Linked DNA regions of Mus musculus. The protein of the gene in region 4 purifies or fractionates together with the protein of the main gene of each other region. This does not show direct contact. Links are inferred from orthologs where the notes say so. Each region holds a gene or a part of one and is shown on either strand. Other genes may lie near its edges.

Region 1 (3,912 bases), on a different chromosome or scaffold from region 4:
AAAGGCCCGCCCCCACACGCCTATTGGCCGCTCGCGCAGAATGAGCCTGGCTCAATTGGTGGAGCCTTCCCCGCTCCCAGACCGCCCTGATGGGTCCCAGCTGCAGGTAGGTCTTCAAAATTGTGAGGTCGAGGAAACCAGGGCCTGGGTCCTCAATTATGGGACTTCATATCAAAATGTTCCCTCAGGGCTCTTCATTCTACTCCGCCTTCCAACCTCCTTACCTAACCTGAGCTCTTGGTGCTGCAACATCTCAATTTCAGAGGCCTTAGCCTCTGACTAGGTGGCTGTTGGGAGTTGCCAGGGACAAGGGTCCCACCTTGTTTCTATGTACCTTATTCCTGAGGGCAACAGGAAAACAAGAGACCCTTTGTGCTTAACTGTTATGGAGGCTGAGGGTTTTGTGAAGTATCCAATCAGGGACTCATCCTACAGCGCCCTCAACAGGCCTCTACCACAGGGATCAGCCCACTATTCGACCATTCTAGGTGCTAGCTGAACCTGTCCCAGACTTTTCTAGTATTTGCCCTGAAATAGAACGGATCAGCTTCCCGATACACAGCCGCACTTTGGTGCAGGAGGCAACTTATATACTCCCAAAGTATTCAGTCTCCGGCGTCTCCAGTGGTCCCGTGCTTGAAGGTTATCTGGTGGATCCATAGCACCCAAGGCCAGGCCTCCTGGCTGTTGTCATTCTCAATTGCTCAAAGGGCAGGGCTCGACCACCACTACCAACCCCCGGAAAAAAACAAAACAAAACACAACACAGGTGCTTCAGCTGCTGTTTATTGACATTCAGGTGGGCACTATAGCAACAGGCCTGGAGACTCTGCAGAATACAAGGTGGAGAGTGGAGTGTCTGCAGTGACAGAAGTGGAGTGCACAAGAAGTGGGGAGGCCAAAGCTGTTGGGAAAGCAGGTCAGGGCCAGGGCCAGAAGTCGTCATCTACACTGGGACCCTGGGCCCCACACCCTCAGCCCCTACTCTTTTGCTGTCTCCTGACTCCAGGCTAGGGCTGGGAATTCTGACAACTTTCTACAGAAGCAAAGCCCAGAGATGCTGCCGCCCTTCTGTGATAAAGTCAGGGTTTCCAGTCCTGCATTCCTCCTCCACCCCTGGCTCAGGTAGGGCCCTGAATAATAGCTGGTCTCTATTGCATGTTTTAGAGGCATTAATTTTCCCTGGTGTCCCAGCCCACCAGCGCCACACTATGGCCCAGAGTGAGCACTACAAGCGTTGCTGGCCTAATGGAAAGGATAGGGGAGGGGAAGGGACAGGGGCTAGAAGAGGGGCTCCAGAGGGCCATCAAGGTACAGGCACTACACGCATGGTGTTGGTGAATCCAGAGCCAGGGCGCCACCCGGTCAGCACAATGACCACATCTCCCTTCTTGAAGAAGCCTCGGGCCTTGCCTGGGGGGAAAAGGAGGTTGGTGAGTAGAGGTATACACTTGAGGAAAACTGCAAAGCCCCACAGTCCTAATTGATCACACAAAGTGGCACTTTTCCCAACCCAGACACAAATCCAACAAGGCAGGTGCAGATAACTGCCCTAATAATCCTCGTCTGGGTAGGGGAGCAGGTTGACAGTTACTTCTTCTCACCACAAGATGGTGCAAGCCTCCTAGCCTAAACAAGGGCTGAGGCTGAACTCAGAATGCAGAGACCTTTGGACACCATTCAGTTTATACTCTAGAGAGTCAGGGTCAGCTGCCTCCTTGTCTCTATATAGGAATAAGGCCACAAAAGCTTGTGTTCCCCACCCTCTAACCCCACCCTGCTCAGGACAGTAGCTCCAGCTAATCTTACAACTGGGTGATAAAACAGATAGGCCCAGCCCATGACTTCAGGAAGTGGTAGTTTTAGGGTCCCCATTTATTAGCACTTCATCATTCCCTTGTTTCCAGCTACATACCAACATCCATGGCCAAGTTTACACGAAGGTCGACATCCTCAGCCCAGGCATTCAGCACGGCATCCTTACACAGCACAGGGAAGATGCCACGGTACAGATGGGCCTGGCGAGCAGTCTGGGGATTTCGAGTCACGGCAATGATAGGAGCCCGAGGGCGGTACCTGGCCACTTGGTGAGCACTCCTGAGATGGAAACAGGTTGGAAAGACTGACCGTTAAACATGTCATAAGACCCTTTCAGTAAGCCTAAGCCAAAAGTAATACCCTCTAATTCAACTCTGGACCACAGGCTTTGCCCACTGACAACTGTTTCAAGGTCTGGCCTGCCCCTCAGACCTGTCCTGTCTTTTCTAAGATGATTATCCTGCTCTCAGTATGGGCAGTCCTATAGGAGCATGGCTGGTAGAATTCTTCCCACAAATGAACCCTTCCATCTGGCAGTGAGGCAGCTTTGGCCCAATCTCAGCAGAACCCACTCCTGTAGCTGCCAGCAACTTTTACAATCCAAGTACCATGTGCCTAGCTCCTGACTTCTTCTGCAAAGAACAGCAGCAGAGTTACCAGGCCCTGGAAGCCAACAATGTTCACCATAACACTATACTGTTCTCCTATGGGAGTCCTAGCAGCTAATGTTAAAAGAAACCTCAGAATTTCTATGGTTTTAGAAATCTGGGTGGTAGGGCTGGAGAGATAGCTCAGTGGTTGGGAGCACTGACTGCTCTTCAGAAGGTCCTGAGTTCAGGTCCCGGCAACCACATGGTGGCTCACAACTATCCATAAAGAAATCTGACACCCTCTTCTGGTGCATCTGCAGACAGCTACAGTGTACTTAGATATAATAATAAATCAATCTTTAAAAAAAAAAAGAAAGAAAAAGAAATCTGGGGGCTGGAGAGATAGCTCAGCAGTTAAGAGCACTGATTGCTCTTCCAGAGGGCCTGAGTTCAATTCCCAGCAACCACATGGGATCCCAGCAACCATCTGTAATGGGATCCGATACCAATGTCCTCTTCTGGTATGTCTGAAGTACGTGTACTCATATAAATAAATAAATTTAAAAAAAAAAGAAAGAAAAAGAAATCTGGGTGGTGATCAGGTGTGGTAAGAGGAATATCTGGCCATTCAAGATCCCCTGGGAATGTAGGGAACCCCTATTCTCAACCTGTAACAAATGATAGTGTCTATCTCTATCAGATTACTCAATTAGCTAGGCACGGGGGACTGAGGAATTCCACAGCAGAGCTTCATGCTAGCCTGCATACATAGGCTTTGAAGGAAGGAGGTAGCTGCTGGAACCAGGAACTCTTCAGAGAAACCCCAGAATTAGCATAGACCTTGTATTTTAGAGCTTTCAAAACTCCAGGACTAAAAATGATAGTTTTAGTGTCCCCATTTCTCAGTACCCCATCATCCCTGGCTTCCAGCTACATACCAACATTCATGGCCAAGCTTACACAGAGGCCACCATCCTCAGCCCAGGCCTAAGTAGCTTTCTGCTACTTAGTTCATGAACACTGCCTTAGGGAGACAGACCAGTGCCTAGTCCTCCACACTGATTTTACATGTGTTTGGCTTTCTGTAGCTAGGCTGTGATACAACTTGCTCTTTCTTCCTCTGCACCATGAGCACTGGGGCTACAGGCACACACCACCACACTTGGGTATTTTTTATCTATCTATTGTGCTATATAGATAGATAGACACTGGGCACCTCACTCTCTCCCTCCACCGTACATTCACTACAGCTGCCTGGGTATTCTGACCACATGCATTAGATTTCCCCAGGACTGGAGTCAGACAGTTGTGAGCTGCCATATATAGGCAGGTGTTGGGCCTCTGAAAGAACTGACAGTGCTCCTAAAGGCCAGACCACCTTTCCTGGTGACCTCTGTGTGCACTTTAAAAAAATAAAAAGTAATAATAAAAAACCTTTAAGGTGCCAGATTCAAATTCAGATAGTCATGATTGTGCAAATCCTTTATCCACCAAGACCCCTCCA
Region 2 (3,140 bases), on a different chromosome or scaffold from region 4:
TATTCCTGAAAAATACCACATTTAAAGATAACCCAATAAGTCTATATTGTCCTATGGATAAAAGCATTAAATGTCCTGGAAGGAAAAACCTGGAATTTTCTTTGCTTTTTTTGTTCCCGCTCTTTTTGGCTTTTAGAGACAGGGTTTCTGTGTTTTCCCCCTCTGACCTAGAACTTGCTTTGTAGACCAGGCTGGCCTTGAACTGAGAGATGTTCCTGCCTCTGTTCCCTTTGCTGTGAATACAGGTGATACACCATGCCCAGCAACCCTGAAATGTTCAAGGAGACAACTCCTTTTTTTAAAGAGGCAAACACCAACAACAAAAAATAAAAAATAAAAGTTTAGAGCTAGGGCAAATCTATCCCCACCAGAGATAACCTTAAAGAGAGTAACCTAGGGGCTGGAGAGATGGCTCAGCGGTTAAGAGCACTGACTGCTCTTCCAGAGGTCCAATCCCAGTTCAAATCCCAGCAACCACATGGTGGCTCACAACCGCCGGTAATGAAATCTGATACCCTCATCTGGTGTGTCTGAAGTCAGCTACAGTGTACTTAAGATATAATAAATAAATCTTTAAAAAAACAAACAAACAAAAAAACCAGTAATCTAAAAGACAGTTTACCCTAATTTCAAGCAAACATCAACCAAATTACTTCATTACCACGATCCTGTTCAGAACAAGTTGCTGCTTACCTTGGCATATTTCTCTGCTTCCTCTCTTATGTCTTTGGGAACAATTTCATGTCTTCCTTTAGTTACTATAAAATCAAACCATATATTAAATATGAGGATTATAATTTGTAATACTGTGAACTCGCCCTAATCTTCAAGTGCATAGAGATCATTTCCTGTTGCCTCCTCCCCCAAATAATCATTATTCACAGGTGAACTCACTTAAAAATAACAGTAAGCTTGACTTATAAATCGGTTTTTTTTTTTGTTTTTTTTTTTCTTTTTTGTTTTTTTGAGACAGGGTTTCTCTGTATAGCCCTGGCTGTCCTGGAACTCACTCTGTAGACCAGGCTGGCCTCGAACTCAGAAATCCGCCTGCCTCTGCCTCTGCCTCTGCCTCCCAGGTGCTGGATTAAAGGTGTGTGCCACCATGCCCGGCAAGAATTCTTTCATTAACTTGTCGTAAAGTGCAAATAAATTCTAGAACAATAAATGTACAAATGTAACTTACATTCACCAACCCAGCTGAGCTCCAGTTCAAAAGCTTTATCCTTAACTTCATCGTGTACTATGTAAATTCTACAACAGAAAAGAAATTAACACAAAATAAACACAAGTTCTATAAACAGTGAGTACAAAGTAGACGTTGTGTGCCTGGTATTTATAAAATGACATACTCTCCAGCCTAGTTCAACCTTAGAAAGACAGATTAGGAGCTGGAGAGATGCTCAGTTGTAAGGTCACTTGGCTTTGGTTCTCAGCATACACAATGCTGACTTAGAACCCACATCTAACCCCACCACTCCTCTCCCCCAATCCAAAACCCTCTCCAGTCTCTTACAGTCAGACACAGTACATGCAAGCAAACTACTTATACACAGAAAATAAAAGTTTTATTTTCCTTAAAATGGGAAATTACACTGGAATTGAGACACTCTTTACAAATACTGATATACTTCTATTTCTCAAGTTGTTTATTTTGAAGCCGGGCGTGGTGGCGCACGCCTTTAATCACAGCACTCGGGAGGCAGAGGCAGGCGGATTTCTGAGTTCGAGGCCAGCCTGGTCTACAGAGTTCCAGGACAGCCAGGACTACACAGAGAAACCCTGTCTCGAACCCCCCCCCCCCCAAATAAAAAAAAAGTTGTTTATTTTGATAATGGTTTAAGGCTTCAAATAAAAGACATCTCAGAAAGAAAACAGATTCAAATTAGAAAGACCATATGCCTTTTCATGATACCCATTTTTTCTATTTGTAAACATATTTCAGAAACAAACCAGTAATTTAAACCATCTGTCCAGATAGTGTCAATGCCACTCAAACTGGTTCTTATGGTGTAATACATTACAAACAAGAAGGCACACAAGCAGTTACAGTAACAGTAAACAACTGAGCTTCAGCTGGCAGCAATGGCTCATGACTGTAATCCCAGGAGGTTAAGGCAGGACACTCCTGAATCTGAGGCTGTCCTCAAAATGACAAAAACCTCCCTATGATAGAAAAACAAAGCTTTCTGTTTCTTTTCTTACTTTTAGAGGCTCTGCTAAAGCCTTGCTGTATAGTACAAGAGAGCACCTTAGTTACAAGGATGAAAAGATGGCTTTCTGAAGAGGAACAAGTACTACCAATCACAAACTATGAAAGGTGCCAAAGGGTTGACTTCCAACAGGAACTTCAAAGACTATTTCAGCAACAGACCCTGGATTGTACCATACTCAAACTATTTAAAGGAATTACTTTCACTTTCCAATGTAATATGGTTCTTAACTGACTTAAAAAAGGAAGACTGCTTCATAACAGAAGGTAAATGAAGAGAGATGAGTCTTGGTAAGAATGGGAATAGTAAGAAACAAAATCCCTTTGTGAGAGATTATAGGCACCATCTTTTATTATGATAGAACCCAGATTTTTTTCCTTGTTTGTATTATCAAATGCAAAACCTGAAAGATACTATTACATAAAGAACCATATTCAGCAATACTGTAGTTTGTGTAGTTTACCTGAAAAGGCAGCTAGAAAGCGAGTACTCTACACAATATTTTAACAGCAAGTGTCTGCATTCTTTAAAATTAATTTTTTGGTTTTTGTTGGGTTTTTGAGACAAGGAAGGGTTTCCCTGTTTAGTCCTGGTTGCCCTGGGATTGCTCTGTAGACCAGACTGGTCTCCAACTCACAGAGATCCTCCTGCCTCTGCCTCCTGGATGCTGTGACTGGCCTACATTACTGCTCTTGACAAATTATAATTCTCTCTGAATTATCACCCTGACTTCACTGCTTACTACTACACAACGTGGTACACAGGACTCACCATCTACCTGTAACGGAAAGTCTCAGGCTGTGTAAAAGGTTTTGTTAAAAGAACTTCACGATAAATGTGATGATAAACCAGGAAAGACTAAAGAACAGCCAGCTTCATAATCACTATAGAAACAGCTCTAACCCTAAAGATAAAGCTAATGAAGGTAAG
Region 3 (4,818 bases), on a different chromosome or scaffold from region 4:
AGCCTGCTGGCAGTGGTACATCATCAGGGATCTCAAAGGAGGACTGCCGGAGATGCTGAGCTGCAGGGGCAGCGGCAGGGCCAGAGACAACGCCACTGGCTGTGAGTGTCCCAGGAGAAACGGCACCCAGCTGCAGGGAGGCTGGAGAGGAGTGAGCTCGAACATGCTGTGGAGTCAGAGCTCCCGCAGTACCTGCATCAGTACTGGCCTATCAGGAATAGCAAAATGAAAATTAACAATAGAGACAACAGCACCTACCCCTAACTTCCAAACAGTATGTCACGGCAACCAAATATCTAAGTATCAAATGTAAACTTTAATGTTTAATTTCTTACACAACAGGAACACACCAGACCAAATAGACCATTACAAAAATTTAATAGGCATTATAAATGTTATTTTACTGATGAACAGTCCATCTGGATGAATGTCTACCTCCTAGACAGTGTGAAAACAACAAATACTAGGCATAATAACTTTATTTAGTGGTAAAGAATAATGCTCATCCTACATAACTCAAAATAATCAGTACTTTTCTAAGCAGTGTGGTTACTTTTCCAGGTTCTAGAACAAAACCTGGGGAACGACTGGGCACTTTTTTCTTTGTTGTAAATGTCTAATGTTCCCCCATCTTTCACTTTTTTGACTGTAAACAAATGTGATAAGTCAGCCATTATAAATTATACAACATTTAATAAATTCAAACTCTCAGAACTGCACCAATGCTAAAAGCTCCTCAATGAAGAGAATAATAGGCTAGCCCTTTTTGTGCCTAGAGAAAGACTTTTTCAATTCAATTATAATTTGTGGATTCACACACTTATAATAGCTGGGTGAGGGACAAAAGAAAAATCTGCAAAGACCCCAATGATTCAAATTTGGGTCCAATCAGACCAGTGTTAAGACAGGGGTCAGGAATAAACTTGTGTGTAAATGAGCTTTTCCAAGCGAGAGGATATAGGGCTAGAAGACTTCTCAGGCAGGGGCCTGTGGATGATTATTTACTAACTCTGATACATACCATTCACAGTCCAATCCTTTTATTGGAATTAGGGTTTCTCAAAACGTTTTTCTAGATTTATGTTGATAAGGAAACTGAAAAGACCCAGCAGTCATTTAAAGCCCCATAGGAAAACCCCGTTTTTGAGTTTCCAGATAGATTGAATTTTAGGAAACCATTAGCGCACAGAAAAGGTAAATTTATTGACGAACAGCTCTCTTAAAACGCTTAGAGAGAATGCAAATGTACCCACGAACGGCCCAGTGGAAGCCAGTATTACAAGTACACTTTCCCGGGTTCATTCCTTCTGACTTCTAAGTGCTACAAAATGGAGCGTTCAATCTGTGTATTCCTTCAAAGTTGCCCCAGCGGTTTCTCGATTGCATGTCACATACGTTTAGTTCAGCGAGTACAGAAACTCACTTGTGGGGGAGGGAGCAAATAGTATCTAGGTCTACTGTTGTTACAAATTAAGAGTTTATTTAGCCGAGCAGCTAGATAACTTTTCCTTCCTTCTTAAGAGGCTTTTTGTAGGGAGGTTAATCGAGATTTTCGAAGCTTCAAAAACCCCGTTCTACAACAAGCCTGCCTAGGAGGGGGGGCTGGAGTGGGGGCGGCAACTCTTCTTTCCACTCAAGTTACAGCCCGAGTGGGCTAACGACATGGCAGTGTTTGGAAAACCAATTAAGTTTTGGGCAAAGTTCCTGTGCTGCTTTAGCCTAAAGCAAGTTCTTTAAAAATTAAGTAATTAAAAGCGGGGGGAGCGACACTAAAGAAATCTACCAGGACCTATCGGAATGTTAATACTTTGAAACGGTTTCACTTCTGTGCTGGATCCAGTTGGGAAAATAACCAGGCGTCGTGGATACGGATAAGCAGCCATGTTCACATCCGCAGTCAGTTAAAGAGCAATGGCGAGCTTGGAATTAGTCATTGCTTCCCAAACATTACCTTTAATCACAGTTGAGCCGGGCAGAACTCGGCCTATGAGTCAACCTGCAACGCGCTATCAAAGGCCGGCGCAGAAACCTCTGCACCGTGAGCGCAGCCGAGCTCCTGCGCAACACACAGACGTGGCTCATTTAAAAGCTTTCGGGCCGAACAGTAAATAATAGGTTACGATTTAGGAAAAGGACACGTGAGCCCACCGAGTGTGAAAGGATCCCGCCCGCGCGAGTTCCAGGGCACGGCGGAGGCGAGTGGGGGGTCGAGGGAGCTTCGCTCGGGCTGGGGAGCCCGAACCCTGCATCCGGAGAGCGCCTGGGCCGCGAGAACAGAAAAGCTTTCGGGAGAGGGAGGGGGAGGGGACCGGGAGAAGGAACCAGAAACTCAATGGACCAGTTCAACCCCCACCCCTCACCGGCACGCGAAAACAAGAGGGCAGTTAACACAGCTCCACCGGAGACTGCAGTGGCGCGGGAAGGGGAGATCGGGTACCCCCGGCTGGGGTCCCGCACAAGACGCCGGCCCCCTCCCCCTCCTCCCCTCCCCCTCGTCAGAGCGAAGGTGCGGAGCGGAGGCGCGCGCATTGTGCACCCCCCCTGCGGCCAACTCCGCGAAAACAACCCCCAGCACCGCACCCCCACGCGGCCCCGCGCCCCCGGGATACCCTTACCTGTCGCGAGTGGGACTTGGGCTCAGGCGGCTTGAAGAAGGAGTCGGGCAGCTTGCGAAGCCGCATGGGCACGGTCTGAGGCACGTTGGCCGTCTTGGGGTTCATGACGGCATTGAAGAGCGCCTCCAAGTCGGTCTCCGAGTCCCCGCGGACGTGCACGACCTGGTGGCCGGCCGGGGGTGCGGGCGGGGCCGCGGGGGTCCCGGCCGGAGACACGGACGGCGGCGCGGGGCCTTGCGGGGCCGGCTGGGGCGGCGGCTGTTGCGCGGGCTCCATGGCTGCGGCCTCGTTCGACGCTCGGGGCACTGCGCTCAGGTTCGGGGGGCTGCGACGCGCGCCCGCATCGCCCTGCACTCCTTGCCCGAGGCCGCCTCCCCTCTCCTCCCCTCCCCTCCGCGAGCTCCTTCCTTCCTCCCTTTCTTTGCCCCCGGCCGCGGCGGCGTCCCAACTGAGACAGAAACTTTGGCTCCAGACGCCCAAACTAAAAAGTTGCGAGGAGCGCCCGCCCGCGCGCCTCGCGGGCTCCGCCTCCTCGACGCTCTTCCTTCCTCTGCGCGCCCGCCCGCACCGAATCCGCGGCCCGCGGCCCCCGGGGAAACTTTCCCTGCGCGTCGCTACATTCCTGCAGACTCCCGGCCGCACGTGACCCGGGGGCGACCGCGCTGCGTGCGCACCCACCGGCCGGCCCCGAGCCGCTCGGCTGCGGGCGCAGATCCTGCCGGACCCGCGCGCAACGCCAAGGCCGCGAGGAATCGGGACAACCGGCTTGGTAGGGTGGATGCAAAGGCCACACTGTTCACCCGCACTAAGGTTAATCCGGTCCGCGTTTTAACATTGATTCCATTTACCACCAAGTTTGAAGAAGAAACAACAAAACACTTGAGGGCGGGTGCAAATGATTTCAAAGTGAAGCTTGGAAACCAGGAGTTGCACTGGGAGTACCTTACAAAAGGAAACAGTATTACTTTTTAAATTTTGTTTTAAACAGGCTTTACTCTGTAGTCAAGGATATCCTCCAACTCTTTGTGCCACAGCTTCCACAGACAGCTAGGATTCCAAGCCAGGGCCTCTGCTAGCCCGGTTTTTGTAGGTTCATAGGTTCGTCCTTTTTCTTTTCTTTTTTCTTTTTTTTCTTTTCTTTCTTCCTTCCTTCCGCTCCCCCTTTCTCCCTCTCCTTCCTTTTTCTTCCTTTTTGTGTTTCTAATTATGTACAAGTGAGCACAGGTGAAGGTCAGAGGACCATTTGTGGGATCTGTTTTCTTCTTGGTTGTGGGTCCCAGAAATCGAGCTCAGGTACCCTGAACCATCCATCTCATGTTGACTACCCTATTTTGCTGTTTTGAGTCAGGTTCCTATGTAGCTAAGGCTTTCCTCCAATTCACTACATAACTGAGGCTAGCTTAAAATTTCTGCTCCCCCTACCTCAGCCTATAAAGGGCTCAAATAACAAATGTGGGGCACCTTGCTCAGCAAACTTTTTTTTTTTTTAAGTGAAAAGTCAATTTTTTAACACCAAAACTTGACATTTCTTTGGGAACTTCAACTCAAAACATAAGTCACTGTTTAACCTCATGGAGCATTGTGGGTTTTCCTCTTGTGTTTAGTACAAGGGTAAACAATGCAGGGTAGACTAAGAAATGAACCTCAATGGAGATTACCTTAGCCCCTGATTCTCTGTGTGTCAGTCTTTTATCTATCAGGAGCCTATCTGGAATCACTCCAAAAATGATAAAAATCTGTTCGTGTTTTTTAAGTTAATTATTTTGTATTGGGTGTTTTGCCTGAGTTTATGTCTTTGCCTTGGTTCCACAGAGGTCCAAAAGATGGTATTAGATTCCATGGAATTGGAGTACAACTGGTTGTGAACAGCCACGTGGGTACAGGGATTCGAACCTGAGCCTTCTTAGGAACCAGTACTTTTAGTGACCGGCCCTCTCCTCAGCCCCTTGTTGAAGTCATGAGCTACAAAACAAGAACTGGTTTTAATGAGGTATAACTGACATAACTATATAGTCTTCCACTTAAGCAGTTTGGTGCTTTTTGAGTGTATTCCCAGAGTTGTGCAACACTGACTTTAAACACACAAATTTCTTCTCCAGAAATCTGGTTTCTTGTTCTAATGATTTTGTCTGCAGTGTGAGTGAAACGGGTATAAATAGGATTAAGCAAAGAAAGGACCCTTGAGCAAAAAGATAATCTCTTC
Region 4 (4,822 bases):
CATTGTTCGCTTGAGTACAGCCAACACCTACTCCTACCAGAAAGGTGAGCTACACACCCTGCAAGGTTTGCCTTCACATCTCAAAGGCAGAACTGACCAGTCCCGACTGGCTCCCCCTTCTTGTAGTGGACCTGCCCTTCCAGGAATATGTGGAACAGCTGCTGCAGCCCCAGGATCCTGCATCCCTAGGCAATGGTGAGCCAGACCCAGGCAGCGGTGGGAGTGGGGTACTTGGGAGCCCACTGTTGCCAGTACTCCTGCCTATCACCCTCTCTGCTGGCAGACACCCTGTACTTTTTTGGAGACAACAACTTCACTGAGTGGGCATCCCTCTTCCAGCACTACTCTCCGCCACCATTCCGTCTCCTGGGAACCACCCCTGCTTACAGCTTTGGAATTGCAGGTAGGGGCTACTTCAAAACAAACTTGGGGGAGCCCATATATATTTTGTTCATCAGCTATTCATAACTGACCCCACAGGAGCTGGATCTGGGGTACCCTTCCACTGGCATGGGCCTGGTTTCTCAGAGGTTATCTATGGTCGGAAGGTCAGTACAGTGTTATGTGTGTGTTATGTGTGTGTGTAAATCTGGTGTCTATAGTCCATTGCACACATAGTGACCTTACACTCCTGCCTCCAGCGCTGGTTCCTCTACCCTCCTGAGAAGACACCTGAGTTCCACCCTAACAAGACCACATTGGCCTGGCTGCTGGAAATATACCCATCTCTAGCCCTGTCAGCACGGCCTCTAGAATGTACCATCCAGGCTGGTGAAGTCAGTAGCTGGTAGGTGGGGGTTGGGCTAACTCAAAAAGCCATGAATCAAAATTTTTTTTTTCTTTTCTCCCAGGTACTGTATTTTCCTGATCGGTGGTGGCATGCCACACTCAATCTGGACACCAGTGTCTTCATTTCTACCTTCCTTGGCTAGCCAGACAGGCAACTGGCAAGCCCACTGCACCAGCACATGCCAATGTAGTGCTCACAGACTTTATTACAGGACAGTGGCAGCAGCAGCAACCTCAGCCCACCCTCACCCACTCTCCAGCCCAGAAGGGGGACAAGGGAGGCTCATGGTCCAGCAAGGGGTATGCTGAGAAGGGGAGCAGTTCAGAACCCATCAGCAGGGCCGATGGGGGCAGGCCCAGGGACACAAACTATACAGGGACTGGAGCTTCCGTCTCCAGATCCTCCTGGGCCAGGGTGCCAGGCAGGACATGGGGCCTCAATAGTCCTCTACCCAGCCGTTCTCAGAGATGAAAGCGTCAATGACTTCCTTCATGGCCAAGTTGGGGATGAGCTGTTCCTGGGTCAGAGGGCTCCGGGTCACAGGGTCAAAGTGGCCCACACGCTGCAACAGAGTCAAGAGTGTTCAATGGCCTGAGTATACCGATCCGGGTACCAAGGCTCTCCATGGCCCGGTCTCCATGGGCCCTCCTTACCTGCAGGTGCTCCTCAATGTCCTTGCGGTCATAGGTGATACCACTGGGTGTAATGCAGGGTTCCCGCATCAGCTCAAAGCTAATCTTGCCACACAAGTAGTCAGGGATATCTCGCTTCTATAGCACAAGGGGAAAATGTCTAGAACTGGAGGGGGCTGTGGGGGTCACCATACCAGCAGCAGCCGATGAGCTTCCGGGGGTCCTCACCTTTCTTTTCTCGTCCACCTGAGAGAAGAGCTCATCCATATCTGCCATGTATTTATCCTGCAGAGTTGAGTGCCATGTGTGGGCAACTCCTGTCTCCACACAGACACACACACTCTGTCCACCAGGGCACTCATGTCATGCATGGGCCAACAGATCCACCAAAGGCTGGGGCACTTTTCATGCCACACACAAACACACACACAATGACCCACATGTGGACTAGGGGCACCCTCACGTGCTTGGCCTCAATGCAGGCCTGCTGGGCCCGGATGTGGCCATCATCTTCATGACCCTCGTGGTTCCGCTGACACTCCTCCAGTTCCCTGAGGGTTAACCAGAAGCTAGTTGGTGATGGCCCTGACCAGGAAATCACAGAGCCCGCCCCATCTCAGGCCTCTTTCCTCCTGGGCTTCCCATGTACCGGTTGTTGTCCTTCAATAAAAACACTTGTGCTGGTGACTCAGTGTCTGCTGGGGGAGGGACCCACCTCTCTCGCTCAGCAGCAATGAGCCTGGTGAGATATGAATGCAGCTCACTCTCCTGGTGGATGCGCCGTTCCTCGATACTGTTCCAGCGCTTCTTCTTAGCAATGCGAAGGGCACTAGGAATATCATCCCCAAAGTTGAGTCGCTGCTCCTTGGCCAAACTATAGGCTAGGGGAGTGGACACTTTTGGTTACACTTGTCAACAATCCTGGTCCCCCAAGGTGCCCTCAACCTTGCATCTTGTCAGCCCACCTCGCTGCAGATTGGCAATGGCCTCATCATAACTCTCCATCTCCAGCTGGCACTGCCCCAGGAAGAAGTGCGCCTTCACAGACTGCCCGTCCAGCTCCAGGGCTCGCCGGCAGTCAGCAAGTGCCTGTTCAGGCTGCTGCATCTTCAGATAGCACAGGGCCCGGTTAGTGTAGTACACTGCCACAAGTGGGTTCCGAGTCTGGGGACCAAGACCAGGCGTCAAAGAGTGTGGGCTCAGTTGATCCCCTCTCATTTAGCAAGCTGAAAGCCAATGATCTGGTCAATGCTCCAGCTTTGGGGGCCCATGGCTGGAATAGAGGAACTGGAGATTTCCGAATTATCAAGAGCTCTGGATTCTGGCCATGCTTTCTTGCCTCCAACTGCTTTTGAGAGAAATCCCACAACCCCTCTACAAGCTCTGGGCTTGGAAATCTCAAGGGGCAAGAGCTCCTGGTGTCATCCTTAGTCTTACTTAATCAAGCATCCCGCCCGCCAGTTCCCAGTCAAATCAGCCCTAGACTCGGGAACAGCAATCCGGGCACCAGGGGAGCGAGCGAGCCATCGAGTCCAGGCTGCCAGAAACCCTGTCCGGGATCACAAAACTGGGAGGCACATCGGGCCCCGCCCCCGCCCCTCCCGCACTCACGATGGCGCGGCCGTAGCAGGCCGCCGCCTCCGGGTACTTGCGGCCCACGAAGAGCCGGTTTCCCTGCTCCTTGAGCTCTTGCGCACTCGGGCTCTTATCAGGGCTGCCGCCGCCACCAGTGCCCAGCCGCGCGCCGCCCTCCTTTTCCTCCTTGCCCTTCATGGCGCCGCGCGGCACGGCTTGGGCTCCGCGCCCGGCCACCTAGATCTCGCAGCCCGCGCAGCGATCAGCTCCGCCCGGTCGGCGATCCGCCACCGGAACTTCCGGTGTGGGGCGGAGCTGGCATGGGGACACGTGAGCAAAGGCGGAGCCTCGTGGATTGAGCCAGTTCCCTTAGCTCTGAGAAGCTTCCGCCGCGCTCTACAGGCCCCGCCCTACAGTAACCGAGACCTACCCTGCTCAGACCAAGGCTCCGCCCATCGGCGCTCAAGCCCCGCCCTCCGGCCCCAAGCTGGGCGAACGTGGCAGCGGTCATTGAGAAGTGGCCTTCCGAGGGCCGGTCACTAGGCCCGGGTCCTAGCGCACCACCAGGGCACACACGGGCTCACGCGACAGCCTGGGAACGTCTGGACCGCCGGTAGGAAGGCGGAATTGAGGGTAGAAGAGAGGCCCGCAGATCAGACCGCTCTCGAGGGGCTTCCTCGGGAATCGGGAGGAGCTGCCTGCGGCCATTAATGGCTGAGAAACAAGCACGTGACACGCTGACACCGAAGGACCTTCTGCGGTTGCTATAGAAGTAGCTGCGGGTGCACGGCTGGACTCTTGCCCTTCTCGCGGTCATGGGGAGGAGCTTCTTCAAGGGCGGAGCCGGCTGGTTTCCTTGGAGAGCGCCTGCACCAAGACCCTTTGACCCCATGGTCTGTCGTTGAGGCATTTCTAGCCGCTGCTGCATCAGCTGTTGGCCGCTAACACCCCCAACCCCGGACTTGGAGAAGCAGAACTCGGCTTTCTGCTGATCTGGGCGCCGCAGTCAAACTTCGCTGCGTGGTTTCTGCCACTGCCTCGAGTGAGTAGGTAGCATCTTTGCCCAAGTTGGGTGGGGGCTCTAGGAGCTCAAAAAAAGCTATCCCCAGAACCTCCTTGTCACTCTTTGCAGTGGTCCTGGAGGCAGAGGTTTCTGGGGTTGCAGCTTTCATATACGAAGAGGCGGTGGCTACAGTTCCTAGCTTGCTAACCCTCCAGTACACACTCAAGCACTACTTGCTGTTTCTAGCCCAGGTGCAAGAGTTCACTGCCTTTCTGAGCGGGGCTGAGCGGGGCCTGAGAGGTCATCCAGGGCCCCATCATGGTTCTGGTGGTTAGTAACTTGACCCCAGAACCCTTGTGGACCTCACTAGTGAGTGTCTTAGAGTTGTAGACTCTTCGTCTTGTGCAAACTTGGGGGGCAGATGTATGCCCAGACCTGCTGCCTGACCTTCACCCTGACTGGGCCTCCCACAAGGACCTGCCAAGAATTACAGGACCCAGGCCAAGTGAACCTAGCTCTGTTGTGGGCTTGCGTTTGGAAGGGAGGCTGAAAGAACAGGAGATTGGAAGCTCTTGTAGCACAATAAACGATTGCTGAACTTGGACTGACCTGGAAGTCCACAGTTTCTTCCCAGGGGCCCCACCTCCTGTGGATTCCGGCCATGGCCAGGAGTAAAGCTACCACCTCAAGTCAGGTGCAGAGCTTGAAGGGAGAGAGGGAGCACAGACCGTCCTGGAGGGGAGGTGTCTCATACAGCTTGGGTGAGGGGGCAGACAAGCCTGCAGAGCCCCAGGACAGCTACCTGGTGCTGTGTAAAATATT
Region 5 (4,718 bases), on a different chromosome or scaffold from region 4:
GACACATGTGAGAGAGCACACGGGGCTCTGCAGTCATCCAGGTAAGGACGAGTCGGTGGGATCAAGGAGGATTCTGAAGGTAGAACTGGTACCTATTCATGGATTGTATCTAGGATACAAGAGTGAAAGAGCCCAGGGTGATTCTAGGCTAGGTGACTAAAGATTACCTGTTTTGCTGATTGTGAAGCCAAACTAGGCACCGCCAGGATGCAAAAGACAAAGATTTGCAACCTGCACCAGGCAGGAAGAGTTCCAGAGCCATTACCAAAGCAAAGCTCTCCACAAGCTCAGGTAGCACTGAGGGATTTTTTTTTTTTTTCTTTCAGGAATCCTGTACATATTCATGAAGGAACATGCCTATTCCAAAGCATGCTCAGTTTAAAGTCATAATTTATATAAGGAAAAGAGCATAGGCGTGTCATTAGACAGGAGCATATCCGTAGTAACTTAGACTGGAGATGCCTCTGTGCGTGTTCAACGTGTGGAGACATTTAAACAAACATATGAAGATCCCTGCCATTTTAGTTACTTTCCTACTGCTGTGATAAAACACCTCCACCAAGACAACTTGTAAAAGAAAGCATTTAATTGGACTTAGATACAGAGGGTCTGAGTCTATGATGGCTGCAGAGACATGTCCTGAGCACTCAGATCTCAAACCCAAGCAGAGGCAGAGAGACACTGGGAATAGCTTGGTCTTCTGAAACCTGCCCACGGGGAGTGATACACTTCCTTCAGCAAGGCCACACCCAGGCCTCCCCAGTGTTCAAGTGCTAGAGAGCACAGATGGCATCTCATTCAAACCACCACATCTGCCTGGCCTCGTTGCCAACCTAACAGAGCTATGTCTGCGGCCACTTTTATTTTTCCTTTGACACTTGCTGAAGCTACCCAGCCTAGCCTTGAATCCACCCTGGCCCACGTTACACAACTTGTCAGCCTCCAGAGGAGCATTAGACCTGAGACCTGCCCAAGTTCAGACTTTCAAGATGTCCACAAAATGTTCAGATTTCACGGTTGTATCGTGAGATGACAGTGTTTAATGAAGCCAAGATAATCCACCGTTTATTAGTATTAAGATGTGTTCGGGGTGTGGTGGGGACAGGATTAGAAACTGTACTTAAGGGGCTTGTCTCTGTTCAGTAATCTAATGGCTTTGAGTTCTGGGTAAAGGATGTAAATGTACTTTGTTTCCCATTTTCTGTACCCTGTACACTGAGAGGACAAAACACAACTTTAAGATGCGGCTTCGTATTTCAGACCTACTGACCTCTGCAGCTTCTGACATCTAAGCCTACTGAATATCATTCGCAGAGGGTTTAAACAAGTTATGTGTGATAGTAATAATCCTTTCATTGGAAAGGGGAGACAACACGGATCCACTTGGCTTCTCCTTATTTGGAGCCTGTGGTCTAGGCTTTCCCTGTCCTCTCCCGAGCCTGCCTGGTCACCGGACAGGTCGAACAAGTAGAGACTGCCCTAGGGTGCACTGGATTGTCTCCTCTTCTCACGGGCTGCACCCACTTCGTCCTTGCTGTGAACCGTGGGTGCTGGGAGGACCGGCCGAGGCCCTGGGCGCCGGGGCAGGGTCCCCCACCCTGGCGTGCCCGCGGCTGCGACCGCGCCTGCCCTTGTTTGGCCGCACGGCCTCGGGGGTGGAGAGCCGGGGAGGTGGGGGCGGTGCCGTCCGCGTCAGCGGCGCCCGTGGTGACGGCGACGTGCGGCTCGCGCCACTGCTGCCCGCGGACGCCGAGGACCCCCGGAGCTCATGGCCCAGGCGAAGATCAGCGCCAAGGCCCACGAGGGCCGCTTCTGCCGCTCGTCTTCCATGGCCGACCGCTCCAGCCGCCTGCTGGAGAGTCTGGACCAGCTGGAGCTCAGGTGAGGGCCGCGGGGCGCGCACAGGGGCGAGCGCGGGCGGGGGCGCGCTCCGGTTGGGCTCCCCTCCCCCGGCCCGGCAGACTGGCGAGCGAGTGCGGCTTGCAGAACTTCCAGAATCTTCTGCGCGGTCCCCCTCTGCCTTTAACTTTTCTGCTTCCAGGAGGGAGGCAGCAGGTTGGTGTGCCCCCCCCCCCCTCACCCCACACTGGAGTAAGTTTCTTTGCCCCAGATCACTTCATAGTAATACAAGTGTAAGGGAGGGGGGGGTGGTAGTATCCAGGACGGCCCCTCCTGGGGATCATCGAGAATCGGACTCATGAGAGACCGCGCGAGGTACACCGAAGTTGGATACCATCCTTCATTCTCTCAACCACGTGCAATGCCCTCTGCAGTCTGTCCGTGTTTGTTGTACATTTAGAAGACACGGCTGACACCTTGGAAGTGCCAATCGCAGGCCCGAAAACACCAAAGGCAGGAGTCACACTCTCCCTAAGATTCTGACACGGGGACAGCCTTGTCGTAAAATTTCTAACTCATGAATACTACTAACGAATGCTGTGAACACTTGGTTGGCTTTAACCACGTGAGCCTTATGTATCTGGTGGAAATGTTAATGTCTTCAAAGTTGTGCAAGTTTTGATCATGTGCAGGTGTTCCATGAAAATCTTATCAAGATGCCCTGACACACACGTTGTTCCCTAGTTTTCTCCGGGTTCTGCGTAAGCAGAACACTATGACCCAAAATTATAAGAGGGAGATGAATCTCCCTCCACGCAGCCACCAAACACAGGGAAGTGTGTCTGCACAGGAAAAAAAAAATGCAAGCAGTGTTCGTTACACGGGAGGCGCTCATTACTGTTACTATTAGGAGAAAAGAGCCAGAAGGTGAGAAAACTTTCACTGACTGTGGAGTAGCCACAAAAGAAACCTGAACCCTATATCCCCCAACTCCGGGAGACAAAGGGACCTGCGCTGTGAAAGGGGGCGAGAATGTTTCCTTGTGCGAGGTAGGCTCTAACCTTTGACAGTATATTCCCAACTGCTCCGATTTTTTTTCTTGAAAGGGTTCAGGAAGTTGTGACTCTTCAAGCTGAGTCATTGTTCTGAACCTTTACTTAATCAAGCCTGTGTGCCGAGTCCTTGCTCTTCTCCTGGGGGCCTCTTGAAAGTCTGGAGTTTGCATAGACATTCTAGTGTCTGATTACTATCAAAGGAATCCTGACTACCAAACATAAGCGATTAAATTACGTTACTTATTAACAGTTGCGCTGAAGGGGTTTTATTTCTGTGTTTAATGGTTCAAGGCCTTTACCAGTAACTGCAGAGTTCTGTAAGTCTTGTTTCTCCCTTAAAAATGTAATGAGCACTTAGAAGTAAGTGTGTCAGAAGGGGCAAAGAAATAGAAAGAGATGCTGCCTGGTAAGGCTTAGGGGCCCTTTTTAGAAGCCATCTGGACAGTGCCACAGAGCATGACAGTATTCAAAATTAGACTTTTTAAAAATGGGGACGATGCTCCTGTGACTTCCCCCTAGCTTTCTTAGTGTACACGTCTGAGGACAACAGTGGACGGGGTACTACCGGAAATCACTGGATTGTCGCCAGTGCGCATCTTCCATTCAGGTGAATGGGTTCTGTGAACAGCAAAAGCCTGCTCCCTTGTAAGACTGAAACCACACCCAAGGCTTTCTGTCCTGCAGGATGCACTGATCTTCCGGGCATTGAAAATGCTTTTAAATGTTTAGCCCAGTTTTACAAGCTGGTAAAGGGTGCCATTGGTTTTTAATGGCTTATAATATTACAATTAAAAACATTTTTACATTAAAATATCCTTACATTAAAAAAAATTTTTTTTTTACTACATCTCCTTTCCTGTGGTGCTTTCTCTAAAAAGATAATCCTGTCCTTTCCTGATTTTCATGACCAGTTCTATGGGGACTCTGCACATGCTGAGGCTAAATACTGTACTTTTCAGTGGTTGTAAATAATCCACGTTAGCATTAGTCTGTAGGCTAGGCCGCGTGTCTCTGTGGGAGTTACCGTTATCTGTATTGTACAGATGAGAACTTGAAGCTCAGATATATACAGTGTGTCTCAGTCCAGAGCAGTGGACTTCGCCTAGGAACACGGGGAGACCGGCTGCTCAGACCAACACCATTTGTCCTGGTCTTGAATATCACTTTTCAAACTGTCCAGCTGATATATGAATGAATATGATTTTACTAAAGGAGGGGAAAATCGATTTAGCATTTGATTCAGTAAACCTTGAAGACCTAGAACGTGCCAGTTATCGAGTAGCTGCTCCGGGCCTGGGGTTTGGACATTGGCCAAGGAGGGATAAATGATTGACAGGGCTGGAAGGCTGGCTCTTTACACATCTCCCAAAACCGATCCCGCCCGCAGTGAGCAGCTCCTTTCCAGTTCACTCAGCCAGGAAAGGGTGACTGCCAGCGGGAGCCAGGGAAACGGGCCACCCGCCTGCTTTGGTTTCTTACTGTTTAAGGTTCCTGTTCGGATGCGCCAGTGTTCCAGGACCCACGAAGCAAGTTGACACCATACTTAATTTGGAGTAACAGTCTGTAATTTAGAAGGAACACTTTTCGTGTACACTGTAATTTCAACCACTGTAATTTCAACCTTATAAAGCCCCTGGGAAAGGAAGGCATTATCTTTTAGCAATGAGAGCGCTGGGCTGCGATGGGTCTTAATTGGAACGATGTTTGTTTAGCACATTCACAAACATAGGTTTGATCTCTGGCTTCAGAAAACCAGCATAGTGGTTCATGCCTGTAGCCCAAATCCTAGAGTTGTGAGGATTTGGTCATCCTGGGCTACATAAG
Region 6 (4,263 bases), on a different chromosome or scaffold from region 4:
CAGGTATCGACCCACCAGCAGATGCATGCCTGACAGCTGGCAGAAATCTATGGACAGGAGAGGAGAGAAAACTGTCAAAGCCCCCAATTCACAGGCTGACCGCTTACTCCTTAGAATTTAGAGACAAGGTTTGAAACAGGGTATTCATTTAGAGACAGGGTATGAGAAGAAAGGCTGATGAAAAGATTTGGAAGTGAGTCAGGTCTGTAGCTAAGGCTCAGTTGGTAGAGTGCCTGCATAGCCTTCATAAAGTCCTGGGTTTGGGTCTTAGCACCACATACAATAGGCATAGTGGTACACTCAGCACTAAGAAGGAGGCAGTAAGATCCTAAATTCAAGGTCATCCTCAGCTACGTAGAAGTATTATGCCTTCCTGGTTTACATAAGACACTGTCACAGCCGGGCGGTGGTGGTGGTGCACGCCTTTAATCCCAGCACTTGGGAGGCAGAGGCAGGCGGATTTCTGAGTTCAAGGCCAGCAGCCTGGTCTACAAAGTGAGTTCCAGGACAGCCAGGGCTATACAGAGAAACCCTGTCTCGAAAAACAAAAGCAAAACAAAACAAGACACTGTCACAAAACAAGAGATTGGGAGGAACTGGGGGTACATGCCTATTACCCCAGCTACCTAGAAAGCCAAGACAGAGCAGGGTATACTAGTGCACTCCTAGCACTTGGGAAGAAGAGGCCAGTGGATCTCTGTGTGTTTGACTCCACCAGACTGATTTATTATATTATATATATATATATATATATATATATATATACATACTGACTGATTTATTATATTATATATATATATACTTACTGACTGATTTATTATATTATATATTATATATATACTTAAATTCCAGCACAGACAGACCTGCATAGTGAGATTCTGCCTAGAAAAACAAAAAAAAAACAAAAAAAACAAAACGCTGAGACAGGAGGATTAAAAGTTCTGCGTGGACTTCAGGAGTTCAAGGTTAGACTCAGCATCTTTCTGAGACCCTGCCTCAAAGCACGAAATGCAAAGAGGGCTAGCAATCTAGCTCAGTCGAGTAGGCTTGCCATACTCAACAAGTTCTGAAACCTGGAGGTAATACTGCAAAATACTGTAATGTCCTGAATGCTGCCCAGTGCTGGCACAGCCTGTAATTCCACCTCTTAGAAGGTATAAACAGAAGGACAGTCACAAATTCAGCGTCAGCTAGGATGTTATAGACTGTCTGGGCAGTAGTGGTGCACGACTTTACTCCTGGCACTCAGAGGAGGCAGGCAGGATCTCTGAATTCCAGGACAGCCAGAGCTACACAGAGAAACCCTGTCTCATAAAACCTCCCTCCCAAAAATAGTAAAACAAAACAAGAAAATTAAATAAATAAAAGAGATGGATGCTACAGAATTATATACTCAAAATGGTTACTTCTGTTGTGACTTTTTAACATTTACATATTTATTTATATTTATTAGTGGTGTGTGTGTGTGTGCGTGTGTGTGTGTGTGTAGGCATACACATGTTATGTACGATTTTAAAGGTCAAGGTTCTGGGAGGTGTTTCTCTCTTCCCATCATGTGAGTTTCTAACAAACTCAGGTCACTGGGTGGCAACACTTTTTCCCACTGAACCCTCTCACTGGCCCATTTTGTGATTTTTTTTTTTTTTTTACCTTGATAAATAAAAGTAAAGTTTAGAAACTCGGCCTGGGGGTTGGCGAGATGGCTCAGGGGTTAAGAGCACTGACTGCTCTTCCGAAGGCTCTGAGTTCAAATCCCAGCAACCACATGGTGGCTCACAACCACCTGTAATGAGATCTGACGCCCTCTTCTGGAGTATCTGAGGACAGCTACAGTGTACTTACATATAATAAATAATAAATAAATTAAAAAAAAAAAAAAAAAAAAGAAACTCGGCCTGGTGACACACACCTGAAATTCCAGCACCGGGGGAGAGGAGAAAAGAAGATTAGGAGTTCAAAGCCAACCCCAGGTACACAGCAAGCATGAGGGTAGCCTGGGCTGCCTGAGAATTTGTCTCAACAACAATAACAAAAAAAATGTGGGGCTTGAGGAATGGCTCAGAGATTAACAACACTTGCTGTTCTTGTAGAGGACCCATATTCGGTTACCAACTCCCACATGGGCAGACTGCAACTGCCTGTAACTCCAGTTCCAGGGGATTCAAAGTTCTTCTCTAGCCTTTGAGGTTACCAGATATGCATGTGGTGGTACACACAAATACATACATGCAGGCACTCACACATAAACATAAAACGTCTTTAATCCTAGCTCTCAGGAGGCAGAGGAGGGGGATCGCTGTGGGTTTAAGACCAGCCTAATATGTATACATAGTGAGTTCTAGGCCAGCAAGGGTAACACAGTGAGACCCTGTCTCAAAAAAGGGGGAAAAAAAGGGCTGGAGAGATGGCTCAGTGGTTAAGAGCACTGGCTACTCTTCCAGAGGACCTGAGTTCAATTCCCAACAACCACATGGTGGCTCACAACCATCTGTAATGGGATCCGATGCCCTCTTCTCGTGTGTCTGAAGACAGCTACAGTACACTCATATACATTAAATAAATACATACATACATAAAAAAGGGGGAAAAAGGGGGGGTGGTTATAGAAAGATGGTTCTGTGGTTAAGAGCACCAACTGCTCTTCCAGAGGTCCTAAGTTCAATTTCCAACAACCACACGGTGACTCGCAATCATCTGTTATGGGATCCAATGCTCTCTTCTTTAAGACAGCAACAGTGTACTCATATAAATAAATCTTTAAAAAAGAAGGAAAAAAAGCTGGTTGTGGTAGCAAATGTCTTTGATCCCCCTTTAATCCTAGTACATGAGACACAGAGGCAGGTAAAATACCTGTGAGTTTGAGACCATCCTGGACCACAGAGTTCCAAGCCAGCTAGGTCTACATAGTGAGATCTTGTCTCATTTAAAAATAAATAAATTATATATACATACATGCATACATACATATGAATGTGACCTACAGAATGCACCTTGACCATGGATACTTCAATGTCATTGCTTACCCTAGACCTACACGTGTCCGTCCCACTCCTTTGACAGGAGGATGTCTGTCTGTTCTGATCACAGTAGCACCATCCTACCTCAACGTTTGCACTAGCTATTCCTACTGCCTCGAATGCCTTTTGTAAAGCAGGAGTACCCCATGACATACCCTCACTCGGGTGATATACCCCATGACATACCCTCACTCAGGTGATATACCCCATGACATACCATCACTCAGGTGATATACCCCATGATATACCCTCACTCAGGTGATATACCCCATGACATACCCTCACTCAGGTGATATACCCCATGATATACCCTCACTCAGGTGATATACCCCATGACATACCCTCACTCAGGTGATATACCCCATGATATACCCGCACTCAGGTGATATACCCCATGACATACCCTCACTCAGGTGATATATCCCATGATATACCCTCACTCAGGTGATATACCCCATGACATACCCTCACTCAGGTGATATACCCCATGATATACCCTCACTCAGGTGATATACCCCATGACATACCCTCACTCAGGTGATATACCCCATGATATACCCGCACTCAGGTGATATACCCCATGACATACCCTCACTCAGGTGATATACCCCATGATATACCCTCACTCAGGTGATATACCCCATGAAATACCCTCACTCAGGTCTCTGATCAAACACTCTACTTCCAGGCGGCCTCAGATTACCACTCCATCCCAAACCACCTCCCTTCCCTTGAGAGAGTAGCAAGCAAATTAGGGAGTCAACATCAGTCCCAGGACTCCTCGGGAAGTAGCAGAACAAATCTGTCACCACAGGGACTTGGTGGGGTATGAGGAGGGCTTTGTTCCTGGGAGGAGCTGCTGGTTCAATACAGGAGAATTGGGAAAGGGCAGAGCCAGACAGCATGTGGGACAGCCTGGGGAGTACTGAGGGAGGAGGGTACCTGCTGCATTGTCCATGTTCTCGCACAGGTCTGCCAGCAGCTCTAGTGCGCCTTCACGCTCCTGCTGGTCAGTGGCCAGCTCAGCTTCGCCAGCCATTGCGGGTGTGGCCTGGGACAGGACCCGGAGGCAGTTCTTCATCTGCTCCACCTCCTCTCGCTGGCCCCGGAAGGCGGCCGACATGGCTTCCTGCAGCCATTGGCGTCTCTAGGGAAGAAGGGAGAAGGATGGGGGTAGAAGATGTCTCTCAGTGACTGCCCAGGGAGTGACACTAATAGGACAGCCAAATGCAAGGACTGATGGCTC
Region 7 (4,263 bases), on a different chromosome or scaffold from region 4:
CACACTCTGGTTCCCTGTTGCAGCAGTGTCAACAGAATCTGCTTTGAATGATGGCAGTTAGGGCCAGGTATCAGGAAGAGGAGTCTGGGAGGGACCAGGCATGGTAACGGAATATAGCTTGCAACCACTGCCTTAAGCATGTACCAGAAGTGGCTGAGCCCTGCCCAGGTGCCATTGCTCCTGGGGGCTCCCTGATAAACTCCTAACTTAGGACTGTGCTCTACCCTCCCTGCCCAATGCCCACCTTGGAGGTGGCCATGGTTACCAGATCCACTCTGGTATGGGCTTTGCGGAGCACGTGGTGGCTGCCCGAGGCATTGGTAATGATCTCCACACCATCCAGGCCCATGTCGATGTGGGGGCTGTGGAGAGAGTCAAGTGGAGTGGTTCCTGTAGCCCTTTAGCTATCTATCTGGAGGGACCTCCACTGTTAAGGACATGACCTTAACTGCAAAGCTTGGGTCTTCCCACTGGCAGGCCCAGGATGGGGAACGGATGGCACAGAGAGCCGGCTGACCTGCGTGGTGTCCAGAGCTCCTCACAGATCTCACTCCCGACACAGGTGTCTTGGGTGGCCAGTACCACATCTCCAAAGGGCACAGTTTTCTGGCGGGGGGTGGGGTGGGGAGGGAGAGACCGCTTTAGATCCCAGGGCCACATACTGTGCTACATCGTGGTCTGATTTCCTGAAGGCTGACATACTGTTCTAGGCCTAAGGCTTTCGTTCCTCACCATGGGTGTACCCTGCCCCAGCATATACCACTACTCCTATTTCCCCGTACAGCTTTACTATGGCTGCAACAGGCCTCTCCTCCACTCCATCTCCTGCCACCAAGGATGTCACCATTCACCAAGGCTGCAAAAAGAGCCAGAATCCCAGGTCCACAATATAAAAAGAGGGACAAAGCTCAGAGATATGCCAACCACCAGCTGATTGTCTATGGTTTCCTAGAACTGTCCCTGAATCGGAGTCTACCCACTCGCAGGGTTGACTCCTGCAGCCTGGTTTGTAATCTCTGACACTCACCATGGAAGTTCCACTCTGTGCTTCCCACCTACCCAGCTATGATCTGATTCTACCCAAGAGCTCCTCCTGCGTCCCACCCTCAGCCTGCACTGGCAGGAAGCCCTGGGGAGGATGCACCTGCTTTGTCAGGTCCTGTAACATCCGAGGGAGGACATATTCCTCAGTTTGTCTGAAAGGAAAGAATCAAAGCATGGAAAAGCTGAGACGTGGGGGTCCGAGTTCCACCCCATGCTGAGGCACTGCCACTGGGGAGGTGAAACACACGAAGTGCTTGACTGCGCTTATCCCACGCAGCAGCCAACAAGGTGCTCCAGGGTTGGGAAAATGCAGTCTGAGATGTGCGAAAGCCAAAGCTGCCCAAGCACCCAGTCGTCCATAGGGTGCCGCACAGAGGGGTCAGAACGAAGTGTCACAGGTCCCTAGGCCTGTGACAAGGCCGGGCCTGAGGTGGTTCTCAGACACTGCTGGAAGTTGCCGAAGAGCCAAGAACAGAAAAGGCCCGAAAGCTGAGGATGGGGTGGGGGTCTGCCTTAGCTCAGCAGTGACTGATTGTCCTTAGCTTAGTGGCAGTTATGGCTGGGAGTGCAGAGAGGCCTTCTATGGGAGACTTAGGCAGTGGCTCTGTAGGCAAAGGCCTTCTCTACACCTTCTCTTTCATCGACCACTGCCATGGGTAGTGGTAGGTGAAAGGGACAGTCCTTGGCTCCAAACTGTTCACTGGTTGTTCATCATGGAAAATGGATGCATACCGACTGCTCAGGGTGGACCGGAGGTTAAATACCTTTTGTAGGAAGAAATGTCTAGGCAGGGAAGCTTATTGGTCAAATCTTTGGGGGCTCTAGGTACCTCATTAGCATGGAGAACTCCTTACTGGGCCAGAACTCAGAGATCTGCATGCTCTGTTTCCTGAATGCTGAAATTAAAGGCATGTTCCATCTTGCCTGGACCTAAGCTTTTCATGGTCACTATTCCTCAAGATTTGGACCAAGGCCAGGAGTGGTGGTGCATGCCTTTAATCCCAGCACTTGGGAGGCAGAAGCAGGTGGATTTCTGAATTTGAGGCCAGCCTGGTCTACAAAGTGAGTTCCAGGACAGCCAGGGCTACACAGAGAAACCCTGTCTCAACAAACTAAATAATAATAATAATAATATTTGGACCAAGAGCCTAACTATGACATTTTGGAATGGTAATGTATATTCTGTGACATTGGAGGCATGTACTCGGCTTTTCTGGTTTTTATTTTATAAGGGATTACAGTTAAGTGATTGGATGAATCTCAGGAGAAACTTTGAACTTTGGACTTATAACACTGTTGAGACTGTTATAGACTATGGGACTTTTGAAGTTGGACTAAATGTATTTTGCATTATGCTATGGCTTGGTATGGTCCCCATAGACTCGTGTGTGTGTACAAGCCTACGGGTTCAGGGAATGGAATGTGGGGGTTTGAATATGTTTGACCTAGGGAGTGGCTATTAGGAGGTGTGGCCTAGTAGGTTCATATATTTGAGATTACAAAAGCCCAAGCTAGGCCCAAGGGGCTTTCTCTTCCTGATGCCTGTGGATCCGAATGTAGAACTATCAACTAGTTCTCCAGCACCATGTCTACCTGTGTGCTGCCATGCTCCCAGCTAAGATGAAGCTGCACTAACTTTCTGAATCTGTAAGCAAGCTCCAATTAAATGCTTACTTTTAAACAAATTACCATAGTGATGGTGTCTCTTCAGAGTAACTCTTCTGAGCAGGGCTTCCCAAATGGGGGCATCTTGCCCCCTAGGAAACATTTGGTAAAGTGTGGAGTTCCATGTTCCCCAGGCTAACCTGGAGCTTGCTATGTAGTCAAGGTTGACATTAAGCACCAGGAAGAACGGCGTGCACAACCATGCCTACCTAGCTCAGGATAATTTTGGTTAATAAACTCTACTCAGAGGCTGAGGTACCTCTGACTACCATATACTGCACAGGACAGTTCCCCCAACCCAAATGAAGAATGACCTGTTCCCAAAGGTCAAATGGACTATGCTGAGAGTTTTGCTATAAAGAACAATTTGAGACACAATGTCCGTCCACTTAAGAGTGACCAGTGACCAGTGCCACTGACTGGTGACTGAGGTTTTATGGTTTCTTCTGGTTCAGATTTGAACTGACAGCATGGAATTGACCATGTCTGAATGGCAGGAACAGTCCTCCCAGCCTCACCACCCCCTTAGTGTCCTGTGGCTCACCTCCCAGCCGAGGCTGCATGTGCAGAGGACATTTAGTGATCAGTGTGAGGCTGGGACTACACTGATGCTGAAGAACCTGCCACTCACCGGCTCCTGGTCCAGGGGGTAAACCAGCGCAGTTCCCGGTAGTTGCCTTCGTTGGCCAAGGCCATCTTGGGTCTGATGAGCAGGATCTTCCTACAGCAGGTGAAAAAACTGTTCACACCACACTTCTGCCACAAAATCTGTCCATAGGATAAGATAAGGCTACTGAGCTGGCTCAAGACCAGGGCCCTGAGCAAACCTACCTACCTACCTTCCTCCCTCCCTCCCTCCCTCCCTTCCTTCCTCCCTTTCTCTAGGCTAAAGGTTTCTGTTTGGGGTGGGGGAAGAAATACTCCATGGCTCTATCCACCCAACATGTGCACTTTGCTGTAGCCTGGTGTGTGGAGGGTGGTTTGGCGGGGCATGGCAAGGAGACTTCCCCCACCTTATCTATTGTCCAGGTGGCAAGGATAAAAAGCCCAAACAAACCCAACCTTGAGTCTCCTCCTCTAGCCTGAGTGAGGGTGGCTGAGTCCCAGAGAAGGAGAGTCATAGGAATTGCTGGGCCAGTATGCTGTGCTCACTAAGGGGCACCTCTCAAGGTATCCCCAACAAGAGCCAGGCACAGGTATGCCAGCTGCCCTTACCTACCTGTTGAGAAAGATGACTCTGCAGTTGTAGCGAACATTCCGGTGCATTATAGGCCTGCAGAAAGGAGGGAGGATAGATGTGTGTCTATCTTGTCACATGAGCACAGCAAGCAGAGGCAGTGGCACTGACCACAGAGTCAAGTGTTCTTATGTTGTGTATACACAGGTGTACACCCATGCATACACATGTGGATGGCAGAGGTCAACATCAGGCATCCTCCTATTCAGCTCCATCTTGTTTGTCAAGATTAACCTTTACTTTTAATTTTGTGCCTGTATGGTCATGTGTGCATGTACATATGTGCACAAATACTTGTATGCACATTTGTGTGCACA

The links.
Region 1: the proteins of Stub1 (region 4) and Pkm purify together in Homo sapiens (affinity purification with western blotting; 3 studies listed by BioGRID, with this or other methods). This does not show direct contact. The link is inferred for Mus musculus from reciprocal best matches to the Homo sapiens genes STUB1 and PKM.
Region 2: the proteins of Stub1 (region 4) and Psma3 purify together in Homo sapiens (affinity purification with western blotting; 3 studies listed by BioGRID, with this or other methods). This does not show direct contact. The link is inferred for Mus musculus from reciprocal best matches to the Homo sapiens genes STUB1 and PSMA3.
Region 3: the proteins of Stub1 (region 4) and Yap1 purify together in Homo sapiens (affinity purification with mass spectrometry; 3 studies listed by BioGRID and IntAct, with this or other methods). This does not show direct contact. The link is inferred for Mus musculus from reciprocal best matches to the Homo sapiens genes STUB1 and YAP1.
Region 5: the proteins of Stub1 (region 4) and Bag2 purify together in Homo sapiens (affinity purification with mass spectrometry; 7 studies listed by BioGRID and IntAct, with this or other methods). This does not show direct contact. The link is inferred for Mus musculus from reciprocal best matches to the Homo sapiens genes STUB1 and BAG2.
Region 6: the proteins of Stub1 (region 4) and Hspbp1 purify together in Homo sapiens (affinity purification with western blotting; 4 studies listed by BioGRID and IntAct, with this or other methods). This does not show direct contact. The link is inferred for Mus musculus from reciprocal best matches to the Homo sapiens genes STUB1 and HSPBP1.
Region 7: the proteins of Stub1 (region 4) and Nadsyn1 purify together in Homo sapiens (co-immunoprecipitation; 3 studies listed by BioGRID and IntAct, with this or other methods). This does not show direct contact. The link is inferred for Mus musculus from reciprocal best matches to the Homo sapiens genes STUB1 and NADSYN1.

Annotation. Positions count from the first base shown.
Region 1 is NC_000075.6:59,676,229-59,680,140, reverse strand, and holds the end of Pkm (pyruvate kinase PKM), read right to left. Parts: intron 2,098-3,912; coding exon 1,916-2,097; intron 1,414-1,915; coding exon 1,307-1,413; 3' UTR 769-1,306; downstream 1-768. UniProt on the Homo sapiens protein: Catalyzes the final rate-limiting step of glycolysis by mediating the transfer of a phosphoryl group from phosphoenolpyruvate (PEP) to ADP, generating ATP.
Region 2 is NC_000078.6:70,991,124-70,994,263, reverse strand, and holds part of Psma3 (proteasome subunit alpha type-3), read right to left. Parts: intron 2,650-3,140; exon of another isoform or gene 2,209-2,649; intron 1,252-2,208; coding exon 1,184-1,251; intron 759-1,183; coding exon 694-758; intron 1-693. UniProt on the Homo sapiens protein: Component of the 20S core proteasome complex involved in the proteolytic degradation of most intracellular proteins. This complex plays numerous essential roles within the cell by associating with different regulatory particles.
Region 3 is NC_000075.6:8,001,500-8,006,317, forward strand, and holds the start of Yap1 (transcriptional coactivator YAP1), read right to left. Parts: upstream 3,098-4,818; 5' UTR 2,892-3,097; coding exon 2,616-2,891; intron 209-2,615; coding exon 1-208. UniProt on the Homo sapiens protein: Transcriptional regulator with dual roles as a coactivator and corepressor. Critical downstream regulatory target in the Hippo signaling pathway, crucial for organ size control and tumor suppression by restricting proliferation and promoting apoptosis.
Region 4 is NC_000083.6:25,829,659-25,834,480, forward strand, and holds Stub1 (STIP1 homology and U box-containing protein 1), read right to left. Parts: upstream 3,262-4,822; 5' UTR 3,196-3,261; coding exon 3,034-3,195; intron 2,587-3,033; coding exon 2,388-2,586; intron 2,304-2,387; coding exon 2,138-2,303; exon of another isoform or gene 1,974-2,137; coding exon 1,886-1,973; exon of another isoform or gene 1,708-1,885; coding exon 1,651-1,707; exon of another isoform or gene 1,561-1,650; coding exon 1,444-1,560; exon of another isoform or gene 1,353-1,443; coding exon 1,227-1,352; 3' UTR 976-1,226; downstream 1-975. Other genes in the region: Jmjd8 (jmjC domain-containing protein 8 precursor), read left to right, coding at 1-44, 127-195, 284-403, 481-548, 642-776, 852-932. UniProt on the Homo sapiens protein: E3 ubiquitin-protein ligase which targets misfolded chaperone substrates towards proteasomal degradation.
Region 5 is NC_000067.6:33,754,742-33,759,459, reverse strand, and holds the start of Bag2 (BAG family molecular chaperone regulator 2), read left to right. Parts: upstream 1-1,709; 5' UTR 1,710-1,768; coding exon 1,769-1,881; intron 1,882-1,893; exon of another isoform or gene 1,894-2,055; intron 2,056-4,718. UniProt on the Homo sapiens protein: Co-chaperone for HSP70 and HSC70 chaperone proteins. Acts as a nucleotide-exchange factor (NEF) promoting the release of ADP from the HSP70 and HSC70 proteins thereby triggering client/substrate protein release.
Region 6 is NC_000073.6:4,677,885-4,682,147, forward strand, and holds part of Hspbp1 (hsp70-binding protein 1), read right to left. Parts: intron 4,165-4,263; coding exon 3,960-4,164; intron 48-3,959; coding exon 1-47. UniProt on the Homo sapiens protein: Inhibits HSPA1A chaperone activity by changing the conformation of the ATP-binding domain of HSPA1A and interfering with ATP binding. Interferes with ubiquitination mediated by STUB1 and inhibits chaperone-assisted degradation of immature CFTR.
Region 7 is NC_000073.6:143,812,246-143,816,508, forward strand, and holds part of Nadsyn1 (glutamine-dependent NAD(+) synthetase), read right to left. Parts: intron 3,983-4,263; coding exon 3,929-3,982; intron 3,478-3,928; exon of another isoform or gene 3,431-3,477; coding exon 3,341-3,430; intron 1,197-3,340; coding exon 1,145-1,196; intron 607-1,144; coding exon 518-606; intron 363-517; coding exon 245-362; intron 1-244. UniProt on the Homo sapiens protein: Catalyzes the final step of the nicotinamide adenine dinucleotide (NAD) de novo synthesis pathway, the ATP-dependent amidation of deamido-NAD using L-glutamine as a nitrogen source.